3 linked regions of the Lepisosteus oculatus genome follow. The main gene of each other region encodes a partner of the protein of the gene in region 3 in a complex. Links are inferred from orthologs where the notes say so. Each region holds a gene or a part of one and is shown on either strand. Other genes may lie near its edges.

Evidence for each region.
Region 1: snrpf (region 3) and cript share a complex: the UniProt entries of both Homo sapiens proteins name them as parts of the minor spliceosome. The link is inferred for Lepisosteus oculatus from reciprocal best matches to the Homo sapiens genes SNRPF and CRIPT.
Region 2: snrpf (region 3) and prpf3 share a complex: the UniProt entries of both Homo sapiens proteins name them as parts of the U4/U6-U5 tri-snRNP complex. The link is inferred for Lepisosteus oculatus from reciprocal best matches to the Homo sapiens genes SNRPF and PRPF3.

The regions. Positions count from the first base shown.
Region 1 is NC_090712.1:13,353,632-13,361,086, forward strand, and holds cript (cysteine-rich PDZ-binding protein), read right to left. Parts: upstream 3,173-7,455; 5' UTR 2,816-3,172; coding exon 2,800-2,815; intron 2,460-2,799; coding exon 2,394-2,459; intron 2,032-2,393; coding exon 1,977-2,031; intron 1,596-1,976; coding exon 1,492-1,595; intron 1,361-1,491; coding exon 1,296-1,360; 3' UTR 673-1,295; downstream 1-672. Other genes in the region: pigf (phosphatidylinositol-glycan biosynthesis class F protein), read left to right, coding at 4,423-4,650, 5,022-5,113, 5,528-5,644. UniProt on the Homo sapiens protein: As a component of the minor spliceosome, involved in the splicing of U12-type introns in pre-mRNAs. Involved in the cytoskeletal anchoring of DLG4 in excitatory synapses.
Region 2 is NC_090722.1:7,131,738-7,139,381, forward strand, and holds the start of prpf3 (U4/U6 small nuclear ribonucleoprotein Prp3), read right to left. Parts: upstream 3,173-7,644; 5' UTR 2,972-3,172; intron 960-2,971; 5' UTR 953-959; coding exon 808-952; intron 718-807; coding exon 587-717; intron 1-586. UniProt on the Homo sapiens protein: Plays a role in pre-mRNA splicing as component of the U4/U6-U5 tri-snRNP complex that is involved in spliceosome assembly, and as component of the precatalytic spliceosome (spliceosome B complex).
Region 3 is NC_090702.1:41,356,402-41,364,286, reverse strand, and holds snrpf (small nuclear ribonucleoprotein F), read right to left. Parts: upstream 3,193-7,885; 5' UTR 3,086-3,192; coding exon 3,083-3,085; intron 1,606-3,082; coding exon 1,480-1,605; intron 1,100-1,479; coding exon 1,035-1,099; intron 557-1,034; coding exon 490-556; 3' UTR 225-489; downstream 1-224. UniProt on the Homo sapiens protein: Plays a role in pre-mRNA splicing as a core component of the spliceosomal U1, U2, U4 and U5 small nuclear ribonucleoproteins (snRNPs), the building blocks of the spliceosome.

The DNA of each region.
Region 1 (7,455 bases), on a different chromosome or scaffold from region 3:
CAAAACGTCTGGTAACATGAGTCAGCCTTATTACATTGTAAAAAAACAGGCTTGTGAACACATTTCTTTTTAAGCAATGCCCTGCATGCACATCACATTGGAACATTTCTGCGATGAAATGTCTGCTACACAACCTGTACATATTGGCTTGTACTTCACATTACATTAGGCTTTCCAGTGACTAGAGAGCAGGAAGGGCCACATCATATCACAGTACGTGGGAGCTCTTGCCCTCGCCTGAAGCAGGGACCGGGGTTTGCAACAAATAGCAAAGTTTTAATTTCCATAACATGAAGGGAGTCATAGCTGTATAAGAAGCTTAATATGAGGTAAAGGGGTTTGTAATCAACATGATGTTCTGTTCCACACCCTTAAGTTATTGCGTAGGACTAAAATATGAGGAGCAAGAAGTCAATTCATGGAAATATTGTGTAGGAAAATGTACCTTAAGGGCAAAAAAAGTATTTAAATGTCAACATGTATACCTTTAGCGTGATTCACCAAGGTACACTGACCTTGTCACTATATATTTCCAACTAAAAGTTAAAGCTCTGGAGATGCCAAAGTTTCAGCACGGAAATAGCACCATCTAGAGGCTAGAATGGAAACCCATGTCTGCGTGCAGGAAAGAAAATTCAAATAACAAATCCTGAGAATTTGAAAAAATACAACTTTTAAGTTAAATTATTTTATTTTCCAGATCAACTATCTTCCCTTTAAAAGCTTTTATTACAAACGAGTTTTTATCTTAGTAGCACAACGTAAACTGATAAGTCCTTATACATTAACAGTCTTGTAAGTCAGTAATCACTAAAAAATTACAGAACTACAGATAGCAAAAAATATTTATAGAAACCCAGTTACATTGCAATTGTAACCATTACACTTAACTGTAATAAAACAAAAACGTCAATATGTAATTTGTAATGAATAAAGCATGATCACTATTACAGATATGAAAGGATACCATCCCACCCACTAGAGAGCCGCTGTCATCAACTTGTGTATATTGCTGTTTTACAGGATATATTTAAGTATGGCCTAAAGTAAAGCTAATTTAACATTTGGATTCAAAGAGCAGAAGAGAACTACCTTTGAATATAGAAACAAGGCTTTAAAAAATACACTGCGGAGACAGCTTTGTCTGTAGTGGTTCTTCATGGCTTTGAGCGTCTGTTTTCCATGAGCAAGCCCAGCATGCAAGAACCAGCTCAATGCAGCTCTGTCTCTAGAATAACCAGTGCTGGACCAGTGCAGTCCCCGTAACTCCTTTCATAAACAATTTGATGGATTGACTACACTGAGGTCTGCTTGTAGTTTTTGGTTTCCAAAACCTTCTTGCCACACATTGCACAGATGCCTAGGAAAACAAGAGACTTATTAGAATCCACAGGTTTTCACACTTCCACAACAAACATTTACTAGGATGACTTGCATACCTGCTTCATTCCTAAATTACTACAATGCCCAGATAAGTAGCTGGATTCTTACCTTTTTTGTAGGCACACCCTTGACAATAGTTTGAACCAGGCTGGTGGACTGAGCTTTTACAAATCCTGCAGATCGCAAATCTGGACTTTCCATAGGGGTCAAACCTAAAACAAAAGATAGGAAAACATGATAAAGACACATAAGGTTAGCTTGTATACTACTAAGGTAAATCTACAAATAAACAGCACATATGCCAACAATGAAAGTCTGGATTTAGTAGTTCTGTGCTAAAGACTCAAAGAATCCTGAGCACACAGTTTTATGAGACAAGCTATCTTGATGGTTTCTCCACTGGTGTCAGCAAGACTATTGATATTATTGGCGCACATAATGGTAGCTGCATTTTACCCGGGGTGCTGCACTTCAGCAGTAAATCAAGTGGGTCACCTTCTATATGTGACAAATTTTGGAATGAAAAGCACTATGTACATTTCCATAGAAAATACAAATGTGAACCATTTTTTTTAATGAAAAGATGCACCTACCTTCCTTTTTTAGAAGTAAGCGCCTTGTTTTCATTCAGCTTGCGGCCACCACTTTCTGCAATTGTAAGAAACAAAGGTGGGTTGATTAATGCCCAACCTTTCTAATGTAATGATGTTTTAGGCTACTCCCCATTATTCGTGGAGCACACATCTTGTTCCAGAAGATGCTGAACACTCCATTATCAACTGCAAAAGTGATCTACGTCTTGAAAACCCTTAGAAAGTGACCGAAAACCTAGATCTGGCAGTACTCAGAATGTATCCGAGTTCAAGAAGGGGAACGGACACATCCAGATCCAGAAATTGATCAGTGTTGGAAAAGGATCTCTGTTAACTGCGTATCTGAGTTCAAAGGCTGCACTTCAAATCTCCGTTTCTTATTTGCTTACGTGTAGCGTAGTGCATTAGTTAGGGTACCTGTTGTGTTTCTGGCTCCATCTTTCCATGTATCCGGAGTGATGACACGGCCGAGTTTCTTTTCACCTGCAAATTACAAAGAGTTTCAGCCAGAGATGAACAGCGGAGTCGCCGTCTCTTCGTTTAAGATCACACGACAGGACGTCTGCCAGTAATACCTACAAACGCCTAGTACAAAGGAAACTAAAAGAAATGAAGAAAATAGTATACAATCGCAATTGCCTCACATTAAAAATGAATGGATATACTGGTTATGTGACTATTTTTTCTAGCATTTCCACTGCGGCACAAATTGTAAACAGCGAAGCAACGTCCCAGTGTTGGCGATTATTACGATTATCACGGAGAGATGATCAGTGCGACCTGTATTCAGAGACAACTATAACAAAGTCACGAAACCACTTACACTTCTCACAAACCATCTTTCTCCTCTCTTAAAACGAGAAAAAAAGAAAATCAATCCACCTACAGCGGAGAAAAGGAAAACAAACTATCTGCTCTGCCGGTGCCAGAGCCGTGTGACAACTTCCCGTCTCGTCCTTCCGTTCAGAAAGAGTGCGTACTGTATACTTCAAACTAAATAAATGCACCTCGACTGTAATTAACCCCCTCTTTGCGTCATTCCTGTACCACCGGCTTTACGACGTCCACTGACATGGCAGAAATAAACTACTGAACTCTACATATTATAGTAAACACATAAAATATATGGGTGTTTATGCGTCTCAAAAAGAATTTACTCCTTCCGGCTAGTCTGCCGTAATATTTTGCATTTTCCCAGGGTTTGTGGGTAGTGACCTTAGACTTTATCCCCGCCCACTCGGATGGCGATTGGGAATCGGTATGAAGCAACTGTTTGATTGGGCAAAATGTACGTCAAGCAAAACACGCCGTGACACCCCCCACGTCCTTGTTTACGCTGTACTGACCTTGCGCAGAATATATTTCATACGGAAATCAGGTATGAATGATACTGTTGTGGGCTATTGTCGTGCATTTGTGCACCACGACTAAAAAAATGGAAAAACACCTTTTAGAGGCTACGTGTTCTTGAGAATAATTCAGATTTTTTTCATTCGCTTGATGTATATAGTAGTTTATTATTTTTTTCCAACGTTGAATGATATTATATAGCAACAATCCGTCCATCTAGAGGGTAAGCCATTTCTTAAAATATAATTACGATCCTATTTTCTCTTGTTGATTATTCAGTTTTATAGGCATAATGTCTGCAGTTTCTTACGCAGTGCATAGTTTTTTGCAGTTTTAAGTTTAATTGGAACGGTAGAGATTTGATACTTGATGATTTACCGGGGCTTGGAAGAATGCTAAAGATGAAATATAACTTTTGAAAAGTTGCAGCTCCTGTAGGAGACGCCAGACCTCTACAAAAGGGTTCCCCGTGTATGTTAAGTTTCTGAACACTGTGACGGTTTGAGACAGAAACTTGTAGTCAGGTTTGCCTTGGCCGCCCGTCTTCAGCTACTCTTGGCTGATCACAAATCCCTCAACGGATATAGACGTGGTGTAAAGCAGTTTTATTCTTTTTTACATTAAAATTGATTTTGAAAATGTCCGATCTTTTGTACCAACGACATTTAAATATTTTTACCTTTTCTACGCAGATTTAGATAAACTAAGGTACAAACACTTAGCTAATATACAGAACCTGGTGATTGCTTGTATACAGTAAGAATTCGCAGCTCCGAAAACCCAAGTTGAGTTTGTGTCCTCTGCACTGGAAGTTTTCTTTACGCAGCTGTATTAGAGTTTTAAGGAAATAATAATTTCTGACAAAATTGAGAACACAGATGGAACTGAAATCAGGTGACCACGTGTCTTCTTGAGTACAGATAGCCAACACTATACAGAGGCCTTTGTCAGCTGTTTTTGGATGTTACTATTGAGTGTTGTACCTTAGCAAGCAGTCTTAAACTCCTGATATTCCCCAGACCTGAACTGATTTAAGTATCCTGAAGTTGGTAGTATTGCGTGCTTGTTTTCCAGCCTGGAATCACCTAGGATCACCATGAAGGATATTGAGATCAAGGGAATGATTTCTGCCCATACCATCATGGCAGCTTCTGTCCTGATGGCCACAGTACTGCCCCTTCTGTTTGTGGATGGGTTTTCAGTCTATGGCACACACCTTGTGTGGCTGTATTCTGTCTCTGGAGCTGTGGCTGCTGTTAACATCACTGTCTATTGGCTGCTGGGCATCAGTCCACCATCTAAGAAGAATACTCTGAGTTACAAGGTGAGGTCTGAGGGAGACTTTCTTCTCTTTGCAGAATCAGCCTGCTTTCACAGGTATTGCACAACCCAATACAACTTTTAAATGTTTTCAGTTATCTTTTTAAAGTACCTTTAATTCAGTTAATGCAGTTTAATTTTAAAATGGAAGTAACACTAGAATAACTGGTATATATGAATCTAGAGATTAACTATATGAATAAAAATACTCTGCACTTATAGTTGATATAGGGACTAGAAGCTTTGAGTGGTTTTCTGTATGCTTGTCCATTGAATTGCATTGGTCTCCACATATATCATTTTGTGGTAACCGAGCCAGCAAACACTATAAAGATATAGTGGGTAATTATTAAACCTGTTTGGTCTTATCCATAGGTGTCTAAAGCCTTCAGGTCCTGCCTGTATTTCATATTATCCTGCTTCCTGTTCCACACAGTTGTTGTCCTGTATGGAGCACCTTTGCTGGAGTAAGTACTTAACAACAAGTCACTAGGAATAGTTTGTCCTGTTACTAAAATGCTCTGCCTGTTCATGTTTCACATCAGGACATATGAGTCAAATAGTCAGTGATGTTTTTGAAAGTCTTTCTCTTGTTTCATTGCATCCTGCTGGTGTGACTGAGATTTGTTTAGGAAAAGTAATTGCTGAGGTCTGAAGTGCCCCACCGGATCCCAGCTTGAAACTAATCCAAACCCTTTTAGAGTGTCTTAAATATTGTCTGAGCAGCGGGTGTAATATTCCTGACTGAATTGACACACATTCCTGGACCAAGAGCAGGGTGTTTTACCCACAAATCATAGCACTTTGCATAAGTGAAATAAAGACCTATTTTCTTGCAAGGACAGGGTGTGCCTTGCTAGGATATGTGTTCTCTTTTCCAGGTCTGCGCTTGAAACCTTTTCCTTTGCTGTCCTGCTGTCCACATTCACCACCCTGCGCTGTCTCTGCATCCTGGGGCCTAACGTCCAGGCCTGGATTCGTGTTTTCAGTCGGGATGGGTGCGTCTCTTATTCTGACTTTCGCACCGCCTGTTTCTGCAGGGGAAGTACCGTTTTCCGGAGTATGCAGAAAGCAGTCCCTTTTGTTACTCACAATCAGATAAATCAGTTTGAGAGCTTAGAAGTGGAGGAGCTTATGTGCATAAATAGGCTGAACTTGCATGAGCATGTCAGAATTTCTATGAAGTATTTTTCAGAATAATATTAAGTGTTTTTATATAAGTCATTGGGCTTATATATAGTAAACAGTACAATTTACTGTAACTGTAGGACCTTTAGTGTCCTACCTTCTGTAGAATACAACAAAACCTATCCACAGGGCGAGAAGAGTCCATTTCTTTCTGAGTGTAATGTCACTGGCAGTTTCTTGTTGGTGTGCAGGAGCTAATGAAGGGAGGAATCCTCGTCGTGTTTTCTTTTTACCTTCAGTACTGACGGCTTTGTAACACGAATGACGTATGCACGGTATATATCATTCAGGAAGAGTCCATATAGCCTCTCTGCATGGGACTGCTGGAGTGCTGACATTAATACTTACAGAACATGGCCTACTGTGAAGTGGTGTGCAGATAAGCTTAGTTCCTGGATTGACATATGTGATGAGTACATACTCATTTTAGTATTATAATATAAGACTGTAGTGTGTTTTTCATTTATCTCATCAATGTGAAATAAGAAATTAATATTTTGCAAAAAGTAGTGTGGCTGTGTGTCATTTTTAAATCTACCACTAGGGGGAATTCTAATGCCACGATTGTTTCTTTACCCTAAGTCCATTAACTTGATTATTTTCTTCCTCTAAAACCTGAAGATAACAGTTTCACAGAATTTTCTTAGATGACTTAGCGTAAATGAGAACAATGAAAAACTAGATTGATTGCATAACAGGCAAGACTGGAAAGCAGTGTGGGGTTGTGTTGAAATGCCACTTGTCCTAGTAAGAGGAAATGGTTATCAAGAACCTGTTTGGGATCTTACTGCAAGTGAAGCGCTGGCACTTGTAAATTTGTTTCAGTGGTTTCTGTGGAAAATGGTTTTGGGGAAGGAGAATACAAAATGTCATGACTACCATTTCCCCACTCAGACAAGAGCTTTTTAAGGAATAGTTCTGCATTATTTAAGGCAATGGTTTTCTGAGAGGATGGTATATCATATAGTTCAGTAAGGTTGGTTTGAGATGAAAGGCACAATACACAATACACAATATTGTAGTTTAGGATTTTGTTTAATTTTCTGTATCCTTATCTTTTTTTAAAACTTTTTATTTTTTCTGCATTTTTTCAAAAGGGGCTTAAGACTAAGGAAACATCATTAAAATGTATTAATTTGAACTTAGGCTTTAGGTGCTCCAAATCTTAAAAGCTGAAGTTTAAAAATCAATAGAGCTACTTATCAAGCTGCTGACGGCAGTGTGGTATTTTTTGTCCGGTTAGGCCTAGCTGCCAGTCAGAGCTACTTAAACTGATTCTTTAGCTAGAATGGAGAGAAGCAGAGATGTACTGATTGGCTGATTGAGTACTTCAAAGTGAAGCACCGCTGCTTGACTTTAATTTCTCCTTGTTGTGAGGTTTCAGGGAAAGCTGCAGCAGGCAGTAGAGAAGAGGTCCGTCTTCACTCCTCTTTCCTGGATTTACCGCATTTCTACTCTGCTCAAAACATATTTTGATGCTATTTAACATTTATTTTCTCAGCACAGATCAGCTTTGAAGCACAATTTTCTTACTACTCCAAAATTTCACTTTTACATAAGTATGTGAATAATTACTCTCACCCGCCGAGAGCTTCTGTAAAGGGCGGGTTGGATGACTCCA
Region 2 (7,644 bases), on a different chromosome or scaffold from region 3:
CGCCCAGCTACCCCCCCCCAGCCCCCCTGCCCCTCGCCCAGCTACCCCCCCACAACCCCAGCCCCTCGCCCAGCTACCCCCCCCAGCCCCCCTGCCCCTCGCCCAGCTACCCCCCCACAACCCCAGCCCCTCGCCCAGCTACCCCCCCCAGCCCCCCTGCCACCCGCCCAGCTACCCCCCCACAACCCCAGCTACCACACCACCACCCCCCCAGCCCCTCACCCAGCTACCCCCCCACAACCCCAGCTACCACACCACCACCCCCCCAGCCCCTCACCCAGCTACCCCCCCCCAGCCCCCCTGCCCCTCGCCCAGCTACCCCCCCACAACCCCAGCCCCTCGCCCAGCTACCCCCCCCAGCCCCCCTGCCACCCGCCCAGCTACCCCCCCACAACCCCAGCTACCACACCACCACCCCCCCAGCCCCTCACCCAGCTACCCCCCCCAGCCCCCCTGCCCCTCGCCCAGCTACCCCATCCAACTGCCCTGCCCCTTGCCCAGCTACCCCCCCACCCCAGCTACCCCATCGCCACCCCCCCTGCCCCTCGCCCAGCTACCCCATCCAACTGCCCAGCCCCCCCCTCACCTTCAGGTCCCGCTTGCGGTTCTTCTCGCCCCCGGAGCGGGAGTTCCGGGAGCTGCGCCCCTCCTCCACCGCCTCGAACAGCCGGTCCACGAACTTCGCCGTCGACTCGTCCAGGAACGGCTTCAGCTGGTCTGGGGGGGGAGCACAGGGCAAGCGGTCAGCGCAAGGCGGCCGCAGGCCTCAGGGCGACGGGCAGCGGCCGGCCGGCCGGCCACACGGACCTGTGGTCTTGCGCTTGTCCAGCCCCTTGCCGACGCAGTGCAGCGCGGCCGTGACGACGGTGGGCTCGGAGAAGCCCAGCACCTTCTTGACCGTCCGCTCCACCCAGGGGCGGAGCTCCTCCAGCTCCCGCTTCGACAGCGACATCCCAGCCCTGCGGACACAGAGCACCCGGTCACTCGGCTCGTGTACATCAGTCAGTCCCTCGGTCCAGCGCTCCCTCGGTCCAGCGCTCCCTCAGACGGTCCCTCAGTCCAGCGCTCTCTCAGACGGTCCCTCAGTCCAGCGCTCTCTCAGTTGGTCCCTCAGTCAGTCCCTCAGTCCAGCGCTCTCTCAGTTGGTCCCTCAGCTGGTCCCTCAGTCCAGCTCTCCCTCAGCTGGTCCCTCAGTCCAGCTCTCCCTCAGTCGGTCCCTCAGTCCAGCTCTCCCTCAGTCGGTCCCTCAGTCCAGCTCTCCCTCAGTCGGTCCCTCAGTCCAGCTCTCCCTCAGTCAGTCCCTGTCCAGCTCTCCCTCAGTCAGTCCCTCAGTCCAGCTCTCCCTCAGTCGGTCCCTCAGTCCAGCTCTCCCTCAGCTGGTCCCTCAGTCCAGCTCTCCCTCAGTCGGTCCCTCAGTCCAGCTCTCCCTCAGTCGGTCCCTGTCCAGCTCTCCCTCAGTCAGTCCCTCAGTCCAGCTCTCCCTCAGTCGGTCCCTCAGTCCAGCTCTCTCTCAGTCGGTCCCTCAGTCCAGCTCTCTCTCAGTCGGTCCCTCAGTCCAGCTCTCTCTCAGTCGGTCCCTCAGTCCAGCTCTCTCTCAGCTGGTCACTCAGTCCAGCGCTCTGTCACACGGTCACTCAGTCCAGTTCTCTCTCAGCTGGTCACTCAGTCCAGCTCTCTCTCACACGGTCACTCAGTCCAGCTCTCTCTCACACGGTCACTCAGTCCAGCTCTCTCTCACACGGTCCCTCAGTCCAGCTCTCTCTCACACGGTCCCTCAGTCCAGCTCTCTGTCACACGGTCACTCAGTCCAGTTCTCTCTCAGCTGGTCACTCAGTCCAGCTCTCTCTCACACGGTCACTCAGTCCAGCTCTCTCTCACACGGTCACTCAGTCCAGCTCTCTCTCACACGGTCACTCAGTCCAGCTCTCTCTCACACGGTCACTCAGTCCAGCGCTCTCTCACACGGTCCCTCAGTCCAGCTCTCTCTCACACGGTCACTCAGTCCAGCGCTCTCTCAGCTGGTCACTCAGTCCAGCGCTCTCTCAGCTGGTCACTCAGTCCAGCGCTCTCTCACACGGTCCCTCAGTCCAGCGCTCTCTCAGTCGGTCCCTCAGTCCAGCGCTCTCTCAGTCGGTCCCTCAGTCGGTCCCTCAGTCCAGTTCTCTCTCAGCTGGTCACTCAGTCCAGCTCTCTCTCACACGGTCACTCAGTCCAGCTCTCTCTCACACGGTCACTCAGTCCAGCTCTCTCTCACACGGTCACTCAGTCCAGCTCTCTCTCACACGGTCACTCAGTCCAGCTCTCTCTCACACGGTCACTCAGTCCAGCTCTCTCTCACACGGTCACTCAGTCCAGCTCTCTCTCACACGGTCACTCAGTCCAGTGCTCTCTCAGCTGGTCACTCAGTCCAGCGCTCTCTCACACGGTCCCTCAGTCCAGCGCTCTCTCACACGGTCCCTCAGTCCAGCTCTCTCTCACACGGTCACTCAGTCCAGCGCTCTCTCACACGGTCACCAGAGGCTCCACTGCCAGCATGAGCTCAGAGAGCCCCAGCGCGCCCCTCAGTGTATCCACTCCAGATCTTACAGTGTTGATAGTCCGCCTCCCAGCTGCCCCATCCACCCCAGGACTTACGCCCAGCAGTGCGCTATGGTGCTAACTGTGATGCTACAGGAAACATACTAAGCATTTTTGCAATTATTATACTATCTGTTCAATTAATTATACAAGAAAGTTGTCAACGTGACACATCCATGCCCTCGTACATACACGACCCTGTGCACTAGGAGTCTCAAGTCCTGCGGTTACAATGTCTAATTATATCCGGGATATAAAAGTTTCGCTGATGAACATCAACAGTTCTGAAACACTTCCTAAAACCCATATTCCCCAGTAACTACACCGATAAACAAAAGTACGACGATAATGTGGCGCGTTAACACCGTCCGTTCCTCTTCCAATCGGTACTCACCACGCGGGTTCACTTGAAATGGGTAAACGTTGACTTTTTAAGTAAAATATCAGCAGTTTCGTTTTAAAAAATATTACTATAATCGAAAAAAAAAACTCAACAGTAAAATAAACCCGAACAGCTCCCGAAGAAGAGTGAACTCTTCGGCTCGCACGGCGCGACACCAACAACGTACAGGGAACGTCCGGCCGGAAGCGGAAATGGCGTCACGAAGCCCATCGTCCCAAAGGATGTAAACGAAGCCGTAGTCCTTGTCACATGACGGGGGAGAGCATTCTTTTTAAGCGACTGCTTCTCAGTGACGTTTCCACGTTATCTGCAGTTAAAGCAGCTGGGCAGTGGCATTTTAGTGCAGTCTGTTGTTTTACTTAGCTTTTGCGAATTTTTCGATTTCAACGACCATTCACACCCTGCAAGTAACACTCCGGCCCGCTAGCGGGGGATCCTTCATTGGCAGGGTCAGCTTTTCACATCCCAGTCAACCCATACAGTCGGGCGTGGTTACTGGAAATATTTTTTGTGAAACAGATGCCTCGCATGGTAGTAGCAATTACAACGCGGCTTAAAGTTTTTAAAACCCATAATTAAACGAAGGTTGCAACAATAGAAAGACGGAAAATTTTCTTCTCTGGTAGTTCGAGGCGCAGTTCGTGCATGCGCCACAAGAGGGCGGTGTGACTGTGTGAAAAGCGAGCAGAAAAAAATGAAAAGTACAGATGGATGACCGACACTGCACTGCACTCCACACGTACAAACGTGCGCTGTGAGGTAGCAATGTTGACCCTGGAGCCACCCTGTCTCGATATGGAGTTGAGCTTGACTTGATCTGCTTCTCCTTCACTCCTGAGCTGGCTCATACAAAGGAAGTCCTCACTCCTGCACAACCTGAAACATGAATCAATCAAGTGAAATGGCCGACAGAAAACGGCAGTCCCCACATTCCATCTCTACAGGCAAGGACACGGTGAACGAGAGTGATAGTAGGGCTAAAATAACCTTCTCAATTTGCCATCAGAAAGATTTAGAAAATATTGAATCTGCATTGTCTATCGCTTTTCTGACCCAGTTCTGCTTTCTGAAGGCTAATGAAGTGATTGTTCTGTGTAGACTCGTTTGTTATTTTTAATGGTAAAACTGGTTTTGATTTGACTAATTCATTGTATTAGTGTTACATCTGCAGTATGTCTTGTCTGGGCACCGGCTGCCGTGTGAGATAAGCATGATCTGTGGGAGAACCCTGTCTCGTTACTGAGAGTGGGAGCCCAGGCCACACGGATAATTAAACTGACCGCGGTCCCCTCCGTTCGTCTGATGAGAACACATCAGTGGCATCGCTGTCTCGCCTGCAGCCCCTCCAGCCCTTCAGAGCTGGGAGAGCTGGAGCAGCTGGCCTGCGGAGAGGGGGCCAAACTGCCCCGGAGCTCATCGAGGGGCACAGGAAGCGCTTGGAAGTTCTGGCTCCAAAATAAAGGTTCGGTAATCTTAACAGTGAAAGAAAGAATTGTGGAGACTAAATACTTTGGTCAATTTCAACTTAGTTTTTGAAAAACAAATATCGGCACCTTTGTAAAAAGTGCAAGATTGCCAATATCTTTGGCCACGACTGTATGTCGTACTCGTGACTCGTGTGCAGTGTCAGTGTCTCTATAGGACTCGTGTACAGTGTCAGTGTCAGTGTCTCTGTAGGGCTGGTGTACAGTGTCAGTGTCTCTGTAGGGCTGGTGTACAGTGTCAGTGTCTCTGTAGGACTGGTGTACAGTGTCAGTGTCTCTGTAGGGCTGGTGTACAGTGTCAGTGTCTCTGTAGGGCTGGTGTACAGTGTCAGTGTCTCTGTAGGGCTGGTCTACAGTGTCAGTGTCTCTATAGGACTGGAGTACAGTGTCAGTGTCTCTGTAGGGCTGGTGTACAGTGTCAGTGTCTCTGTAGGGCTGGTGTACAGTGTCAGTGTCTCTGTAGGACTCGTGTACAGTGTCAGTGTCTCTATAGGGCTGGTGTACAGTGTCAGTGTCTCTGTAGGACTGGTGTACAGTGTCAGTGTCTCTATAGGGCTGGTGTACAGTGTCAGTGTCTCTGTAGGGCTGGTGTGCAGTGTCAGTGTCTCTATAGGGCTGGTGTACAGTGTCAGTGTCTCTGTAGGGCTGGAGTACAGTGTCAGTGTCTCTGTAGGGCTGGTGTACAGTGTCAGTGTCTCTATAGGGCTGGTGTACAGTGTCAGTGTCTCTGTAGGGCTGGTGTGCAGTGTCAGTGTCTCTGTAGGACTCGTGTACAGTGTTAGTGTCTCTATAGGATGCCTGTTACTCAATAGGAAGGTTGCAGTGTGCTTGCTGAAGTGCTGCTCTCCTTGTTAAAGTGGGTCAAGGACTTGAATGGCCTGGGGTGGCTCTGTCTGTGGAGCGTGGAGCAGCTCCAGACCGAGCTGGGGAGGGATCCCAGTCTTTCAGAGCGAGGGGCGCCTGCGGCAGGGGGAGAGGGGATCTGAGCTGTGTGAGACAGAGAGTGGGGGAGGGGCTCTGTGCTTACTCACTCGTTCTCTAACTCCTGCACTCCGGCTCCCTGCTGGGCTCATCCACTGTGGTGCATTAGAGCTCACGCAAGGAGCACAGAGCTGGGCTGGTACACACGCACGCACGCACACACACACACACACACACACACTGACACCCAGACTGGCTTGTCCTCCTGTCTCTGAGAACACACACACACTGACACCCAGACTGGCTTCTCCTCCTGTCTCTGAGAACACACACACACACACTGACACCCAGACTGGCTTCTCCTTCTGTCTCTGAGAACACACACACACACACACACACACACACACACACTGTAACAGTGTGTAAATACTGTACATTTGTGCTGCTCTAAAGGCAGACTTGCCTCGTGCCTGGATCTGGCGAGTTAATTCAAGTGGCTGCAATCTGTGTTGTATAAATAATAAAAGCGCGAATAATAAACTGCACTCAGCCCATCGCTGGCATCACGCAGCCTGGTCCGCGCTGGACCCCCCTTCCCTCCCCGCTCAGTCCCCAGGGCCTGGGGGAGGGGAGCAGACATGTCCCGAGTCCCGAATCCCACCTCGCCCGCCGAGCGAAGGGGGGGGCCGGGCCGAGCCGAGGACGCAGACGGAGTCTTTGTTCTGCGTAGCCGGAGAGCGGAGGCCGCCTGCGAGACAGCGGAGCCGCGATCCGCGACCGGCCCCCCTCGGCCAGCGCCCCCTGGCTGTGTTAGTGCGTGCTCGCCTTTGTGCTCGGTGTTGTGCCGTGCCTGGCGTCGGTCCACTCTGCTCCTGCCGCTTGGTGCTTTCCTGGCCCAGGCCCGCTCCCCTGTCCTCTCCCACCCCTGCAGGAGCAGGAAGCTGGGGGAGGGGAGGGTAAGCTCTCGTCTCATCGCCCCGTGTCCCAAATCCAGCGGCTCTGCATGCGATAGAGGAGGGGGTCCACGCAGGGGGTGAGGATACTGTAGTCATCCCTTGACACCCCTAAATAAATCCCTTCCCTCTGAGGCCCAGCTGGGGGGGATCTCGCAGCACATTTTCCCCAAACCCCACCGCCCCCCCCGTCCCTCAGGTCGAAACCCTCCCACATCCCAGTGCACAGCCCGGCTTTTCCCTGGAAATACAGGGATGAAAAATCATCACAGGGATCTGGGGATCTGTGATCAGGGGTCCTGGGCTCTTCAGCGACCAGATAGATCACCACAGGGATCTGTGATCGGGCACCTGGGCTTTTCACCAACCAGAGACTGGCTGGGCGGTAGATGCACAGGAGTTAAAATCTCGTATGGATCACGAGCACCAGCTTCGAGCAGCAAAGCAGACAAAACACGGACACCTGCAGTTCCTTTCCAAACACTGGCAGTTTATTCGGATTCTGGGACGGCAGTTCCTCGGGGAGGGGAGCAAAGTAAGATGGGGTGACCTGTACAGCACCCCACCAGGAGAGACGCTTTTAAACTGGTCTGATATAAAATTAACAAGTGAAAACATTGTAGCAAAAACAGGGCGAAACGCCCACAGCTGTTCGAATAAAAACACAGGGACAGCGACAGCAGAATTCATTGAAGAGCAGAGGGTCACCCCTCACCTGGGTCAGAGCTCAGGATTCCTCATACAACACATCATCATCAGAGCTGGAGAGTCACTGTACAGACACTCAGTCCAGCTCCTCTGTATCTTCACATGAACACTCCTTCATCATCATCAGAGCTGGAGAGTCACTGTACAGACACTCAGTCCAGCTCCTCTGTATCTTCACATGAACACTCCTTCATCATCATCAGAGCTGGAGAGTCACTGTACAGACACTCAGTCCAGCTCCTCTGTATCTTCACATGAACACTCTTTCATCATCATCAGAGCTGGAGAGTCACTGTACAGACACTCAGTCCAGCTCCTCTGTATCTTCACATGAACACTCCTTCATCATCATCAGAGCTGTAAAGGAAGAGAGTGCTGTGTAGTGTTTCAGTGTGTCATTGTGTATACATCAGTGTGTAGTGTGTTTATGTATAAAATACCCTTCAACACACTTTTAGACAAACACATGCAACCTGTACAACAGGCCTCATTCTGTCCCACGTCTCACTGCCCCCTGGGGCACCGCGGGGTCACACAGCGACCCCTCCTTGTTCATGGGGGGCCTCCCTCTCCAGAGGGGAGGTCCTGTCAACCACGA
Region 3 (7,885 bases):
TAAAATACTTCTCCACATTGCTCAATCCAATTTTATCCTTTTTGGGACACCTACAAATTAACTCCATCAGTGATATACATGCCTTTGTAACAGGATTATTAATGTCGCAGATATCTTCACTTAGCAGGGCAAAAACTAATTTGCATAAATGATCCTCCTCAATTCCCATCCAGAAAACACTCTAACCATTCCTTGTGGTTCATTAAAAAATACTCAATCACAAATTCTAAGAAAGTGCAATATGCACAATTTTATTACATCAGTGCTGCTCCTGAAGCACAATGTTAGACAACCACGTTAAGTTTTCGATACATAAACAAAAACAGCTTTTTCTTCTTTGGTAGGAAATTACAGGCTCCATTTCAAGCTTCCTGCCTACCAAAGAATCTATCACAGATCACAGGCTTTTTATATGGCGTAAAAAAAGTGACATTTCTAATTACTATGTAAAAATCAGTGACCCAGAATCAAGAATTTCTTCACAATGTTTTATTCTCTCATTTCTCCATCTTCTTCTTCTTCCTCAACACCTCTGATGTATAGGACGTTATTGCACCTGTACAAGACAAGAACATTTCTGCTCATCAGGAAATCCACAAAGGTCACAAATTCCCCAACTACTCCAATACAAAATCGATGCATTGTAACGTATTCTGACATGCTTTAGCCGATTATAATACAGCAGACACAGAATTCACTGAAATCTTCCTTCCTTGAATCAAAACAAAGAAGAGTGGTACATGTTGTTAAATGGCATGACAACACATTTAGGATCAAACAATTAGTGTGATTCCATAGCCAATTCTTTAATTCTCAATTACAATTATTATGGAAGACTTACTATACACCATGAAATTCAAAAGACATGCATTATCAATTTCATTTGATTTCATCATCATCATGCTTCAATGATTTTAACAATATCCAGTCAAATAAAGCTTTATTTAACCACATACGTCAACTCAAAAAATTTTAAGTTAACTTTTTTTTTTAAGTTAAAAACTAGCACTCTTGTGCTCTGCTTAGTTGCCTACCTCACAAGCACTTCTCCTAAATGACCGGCCAGTGCTCCGTCAACATACTCTTCAGTGTTGGCAAGCTGTGAAAAGAAATAGGAGCACAAACATGACTTATCAATCTCTACAAATGCGTTTCCTACAAAGTTAAAATTTACAGGATAGACAAAAGTAATGTGTAAAACTCACTACACCCAGAACACATACTGTATAAAGGATCATTAAGGATCACATATAATCATTCAACATGGTCATTTGTTCCCCCCCAATCTAAATGAGAAAAGTAACCATAAGGACAAACTCAACCCTGTGCTTTCGATCATCAGTTTCATTGGCATGAATGTTTAAGAAACTCTTCAGTGCTGGTCTGCCAAAAATGTAGTCAAATGTAAAAAATGAAATCCTAATACCCATCATAGACATGTGAGCAGCCATGTTCCACCACGCATCCATGTTTACATACCTGCATATTCATGTACCCATCGACTGAGACCAAATATCCTTTGTACTCCATCCCCCACTTGAGCCTCACCATCACTGGTTTTCCTGTCAGGCCATTGAGGAAGGGCTTGGGGTTCAGAGGCAAACTCTACAAAGACAGCAAGCACCATTAACCCTTACCAAGTGAAGGGAGATAAAACAAATATACCCTTTTCTCACAGACAATTGGACAACATCTTGCCTATGTCTTAAAAAAATACAGCTACAAAAAAAAGTAAACGAAGTATCCAGTGAATGATAATGAAACTGTATGTACGCCCTCACAAAAGACAAATTAGCCTTTTCAGACATGTCGTTGTGGCCTGAATTTTCAGTGAACAAAAAACAATAAATGCAATATTTATATCTATTCAATATTCTGTTATTGTTAAATGACAAGTTGTGCGTGCACTGCAATATTAGGTATAGAAAAATCAGTTTAACATTTTTTCAAGGATAATGAGTAAGATACATTTCTAGAATTATTATTCCAATACAATGACTCAGGAGTTCAAAAATGATTTATGTGTGGTGAAACTGTGGTGAAACAGCATGAACTGAAAAAACTGAAGGTTTTTCATTCACACTGATTTTTCCCCCAATTTTTTAGTGGCACACAATTCACATCAGGTTCTGGGGGAGATGAATTCTGGTCAGTGTCCATCTCGATTCTGCAGTCTAATGTCTTTTGGCATTACTCTGCAGTCCAGCCTGACCAGAAATCCAGATTCAGAGATGTTTTGGCTAGTCAGACTATCAAATCCCAACAAGGTCATTAGAGAGCACAACCTGCTGTGAGTGAGGGACGAGGGATGGACAGTATTACATGCATTTCCTCTACATGATAGCCTGTTCTGGTCTACCTGGATGATGTTATAATAAGTCTTTAAGCACACAAGTCAATTGAGAATGAATCCTCCTGCGCACTGGCGACTCGAACCTAACCCATTTATAGGTTAGGTCCGCTTTTGGAATAATCTGAGTGAAATAACTTGCTTTAAAGTACAACAACAGCCACACTTAATAATTGAATCCCTGGACCTGGTCTGGAGTCAGAAGCCTAAACCATTACTACAACTCCACACATACATAACTATTTAATTGCACAAGAAAATAGACATTCTGATTAGATTAAAAGCATCCTTCAACCATCCTTAACAATATACTCTGGATTTGGGCGGTCGTACTTGTTTTAAAAAAGTTCCACGCTTCCTGAACTTTCTCCTATTAAGAATTGCACGAAGACTGTATTTTCACGTCTTGTCTTCTGCCCGGAATACTCGGAAGATCATCTATTCTGTTTCTCAATTTTGTTAAACTCGACATAGTGAATTCCAGTACCTTCACTGCCTAAACATATCGTACATCTTATGCAAAATCAATATCGAAAATGTAGAACTGTCGGAGAACTGATTTCTCAACGCATTTAAAAGTACTTTCTGATCCAGTACCGAGGCCTAGTAATTCATCAGAACAAATGAAAGGAAATATTTATGTAGCCAGCGCTAACATATCAGATTGAAACCATACATCAAGCGCAAACTCGCACATCACAATTAAAATCGAGATCTCTCAAACACACTCACCATTTTTATCGTTCAATAATAAAACCTTTGTCTTGTTAGTCTCATACAAAACACCGCACGCCGCACCGTCCAAAGTAGGAAGTACTTCCTTACCCCGACCTCTCACCTTTGAACCCGAGGGGGAAGTGTACTTTAATTGGATACATTCTAGACCTTTTAATTTGATTGGCTACGGGGTGTATTGCGCTTCTCAGTGCGGGAAAATAGCTGTGTGAAGAGGTTGATATATGAACAGTATTATGGTTGTCTCCAATAATGTTTTAGAAATGCACGATGGTATCCATGATCATTGTCTAACTTACATTAATGTTAATTAACATGCAAGCATTGTGGTCCTAGAAGGCCGCACGGTACAATTATTGAGGTTAAACAAGTGCGTAAACGAGGTATCATGCTTACATCAAATATGTAATATATTGTCTCATGCCCGAACGCTGACTGCATATGCTGCTTCCCATTATCAGGAGTAAAACGTCCGTCCCGAAATCTTAGAGCCGCATCCCCGCAATATACACCACGACTGTAATATTGTAGCAAGCGGGTTTGCTAGAGCAGCAACCATAGACGGTCACTACCGACAGAAACCTCGGCGAAACGGAAAAAAGACTGTACCGCCGGTCTAAATTGAGTGATATGACACGCATCATACAAATATGTGTTATATACGTATGACAGAAGAGAACAGATATTGTAGATATTGTAATTGACGATTGGGGTACTTCGTGGTTAAGCTCTGTGTCGTTGGTAACAATTGGCTGGCAGCAAATAAGGGAAGTTTCTGTGAGAACCCACTGAGCGTTTCGAAAAAAAGTTCGAAACATTAAGAATCAAATTGGAGTATATTTGTTATTTTATTGTAAAAATAAATTTCTGTAACTCTGATTCAACGGCTCATCCCAATGAGGGCACCTCCATAGCGCCCTCTATCCCCATAGAGTACTGAAGGGAATTGCTTTAGAAGTTTTGGTCGAAATAGAAGAGTTGCCGCGTAATGTATTAATCCGGGGTTCCCGTGGGTATGCGCCCTCGCCGCTGCCGCCTCAGGTCGGCCCCCCACCAGGAGGGTCCTGGCCTGGCCGGAGAGCCTGCCCCGATGGAGGTCCTTGGCCCACACGGAGAGGCTAGAGGAGGAGCCCACGGAGCAGCCTGGAGGGGCGGTTTGGAGTCGGCGGGACACTCGACTCTTCAGCTGGGGGCAATGTAGCGCCACGCAGGGCGCTTTAGCCATGTGCACGCAAGGTGGGTGTGTTAGTGAAGGTGCAGCGCTGTAACCCCTGTCCCTGTGTGTGTACCTTTCCCCGGTTTGAGTTAATAAATGTGTTGTTCAACCCCATTCCCCGAGTCCCATGCCTGCTCCATTCCTTGCCGAACCCGAATCCATTACAATATATGTTTCATTAGAATTATATTTGGTAATTATGGCCATGCACATGCTTTGCTTGAATATTGTGACCGGATATTTTATGTCGACCTTATGACTACAGCCTTCTTTCATTTTGTAATGTATATTCAGACTACGAGAGGGACAGTAAAAGATGCAGAAAGTTACAGAAACATAAAAGCTTTTACTAAAAAGTAAAACAACGCCAAACCAAAAGTCCCCAAAAAGCTTGTTGTCTAAAAAGTATAATATAAGTTGTATTAGAAATTTACTTTCGAAATTTAATTTTCTTTAGGAAATGTTTGTGCTCTAGAAAAAAAGTCTAAGGATTAATTAATACTATAAAATGTTTTTTTTTCAAGAATCTTCTATTTTATGTCATATTAAGACAAAATATTCTGTCTTTTTACAACAATTTGTATAAAATTAGACGTATTTGTTGCTTGGCTTTAAAAACACGTTTTTTAATGGGGGATTCGGGTTTAATTAGAACTGTCAAAATAATCCCAAACTTGCTGCTATCATAAATTACACAATGATCTCGTCCTCTCCCCAAAACATTCTTGTTCTTTCTTGCTTCTCTGTTTTTTTCTAATTTCTCGTTTAGCAACACAGTTAAATATAAATTTATTACCTATATTGGATGTTTTTAGAACACTTGCTTTAATTTCACAATGCTGTTTTGAAACCGTTTTCACTTTGACAATGTGGTGTAAATATTTTTAGAACATATCACAGAATGCCTTTATTCGAAAGATCAAATAAAGCGACTATTACATTTTTAGGTGTGAAATTTAAATATTCTCAATAATTAGTCATGACCACTTTAAGGTTATCCGTAAATGAGAAGTAGCCATAAAATATTATTCACTGGCTAACCCTCGGGGGTCGAGGATAATTGTCTTCAATGAACGATAAAGCCTTTGCTGGCCGGCCGAGCAGGATGTCTCGGGAGATAATCAGGGCACGTATCGCGCATAATCATGAGGATAGAAAACATCGTCTGTAATGAATAAAGTGTAGATGCTTTCAGTAAGTGACCAGATGGTGGCACTATCTACTAGCCTTCACACTTTGTAGCTCTGCTCATCCAAAGAGTTGAATTAACGACGTGTTCTTCTGGAGAACCTCCACGTTTCCACTGGTTTTACAGGAGCGTTTCAGTTACCAACTGATTAAAACCCTAAAAGCAGGCGATTCAACTTCTTATCCGAAGAATTATTTAGTTAAAATCCGTGATGGAATTAAAACCACAGGGCTCTATGTCCAAGGACTGAAGCTGTCAGTCTAGAAAGTCAAGAATAATATCGGCTGTATAACCCAAGAGCTCACCCAACTGTTTCTTGAAGAATCTCAAGGTACTGACTTCAAGAACATGAACTGCCAGCTTTGTGCAAGGAGTTGCCCCCAGTTCTCCGTGCTAAAACACACTTCTGCATAACTTTAAAATGTTCCTTAGGGTCAGAGTTGCGGTGCTGAGCATAAAGTAATTATATTAGGCTCACCCTGCCCATACCTTTGAAGATTTGTAATGGTGATGTGCAGTTCTCTAATCATTTCTGTTAATCACTGTTCAAGACTGAAGAGAAAAGTTACAGCTCAAAATAATTTTTCTGCTGTGGTAAGAAATGTTTCCCTTGTGATAGACTGGCATCCTGTCCAGGGTGTATCCCACCCAGACTGGCATCCTGTCCAGCTGTATCCCACCTTGCGCCTGTTGCTTGCCAGGATCAGCTCCGGCTCCCCCACAACCCTAAAATGGATACAGCTGTTCGAAAATGGATGGTGGATAAAAAAATATTTTTTTTTATCCATCCATTATTTATCCACACACCTGAAGAAGGCTCCATGGCTGAAACATTGTGTTTTCTTTCTTCTCTTTTCAGCATATAATAAACCTATTGCTTGTTCCTAAAAAAAAAATATTTTACTCCAGGTAGGTTAATTGAGTTCATGTGCACTATATAAAGCAGGAAATTCAAATGTAACACGAACCCCATCAGAGATGTATGTTTTTGGCCCCTACCCCCACAGTACAGCTCTGAAATTTGTCTGTAAAAATATTTATCAACCAACTGTACATCTGGAGATTTTCTTACAGACATTACTTTTCTTATTAGAGGAAATGGCACATGAGAACAGATGCTACAACTCAGCTAACTACCTCCTTGATAAGTAAGGAAAGCATCTATGTAAAAAATGCACTGTGACGAAAAAGAATGGTACCTCTCTGGCGTCCGTAGCAAAAAAAACAGCTTCGTTTGGCTGTAGTCTAAAGTTTATATAAATCTAACAGGGTATAAAAGGAGCACTCATTTTTTCTCAGATGATAAGTTTTACGCAGTCTTATAAGGAAGGATGAATAGGTTTAGTTAGACTATCATCATCAGTAAGATTTCCAGGCACATCTGGCAGAGCGAGAGGAACTGTAACTACTGTAGACACGGACCTGATTTTAGCCACCCAGTTTGGAACAGCCAATTCCATCTTTGCTCACACAGGCTCTTCCAGCCTGCCCACGCATTACACCATTCATCTTTGAGCACGCTGCAGTGAGGAGCAGGAGGCCCAGTGCTCATGGGAGGAATGGCTGGCCTTGATGATGTCAGAGAGCTGGCAGACCTCAGTGTCACGGGAGCCGGGCCAGACTCCCGTGAAATGCGTTGTTAAAGACCCTATGCGTGACGGAATACTCCGGAGTTCATTGATCCAAGGGTGTCACCCAGCTGTTTCTTGAAACAAGCCGGGGTTTCAGCTTTAACAGCATGACTGGTTAGCTTGTTCCAGTCTCCCACAGCTCTTTGGGTAAAGACGTGCCTCCTGTTCTACCTTTTAAGTGCACTTTTTCTTGTTTTCCATGTGTGCCCTCCACCTCGCATTTAATCGTTCATCGTTCGCTATGGCCGACAAGGAAGGGCAAAAGACAAAGCTGTCAAAGACAGAGGCACAGAGGAATCTGTGAGGAGACGCTGCGGCCTGCGTGAAAATGTATTCCTTCTGGAAAAAGAGGTCGGTGGAGCTGGTACCAGAGAGGTGTGGTAACAAGATTGTGGCGGAAGATTGTGTGAAATATTCTGTCTGGTCGGGTGCAGCCTCCTGTTCAGTTCCAATGAAGGGCATGATTCTGCTTGTGCGTGTCTGGCACTGGCAGACTGGCAGCTGGCAGACTGGCAGCTGGCATGCGAAGTAGCAGTTTCCTCATGTTCCAGTATAACGCACGGGCAGCCTCCCTACTATGGGAGCCAGTGAACCATAGTGAGGTGATCGTGGAGTAATAATTTAAGTGGGTGTGGAGAGTTCAGTGTCCTACATATCTCCCTGCTTAGCTCAGCAAAGAGTGGGATTGAACGGGAAATATTTGGTCAAATTATAGAAAAAATAATAATTAAACAGCCCACAAATATTGAATCAGCTGGTCTTGT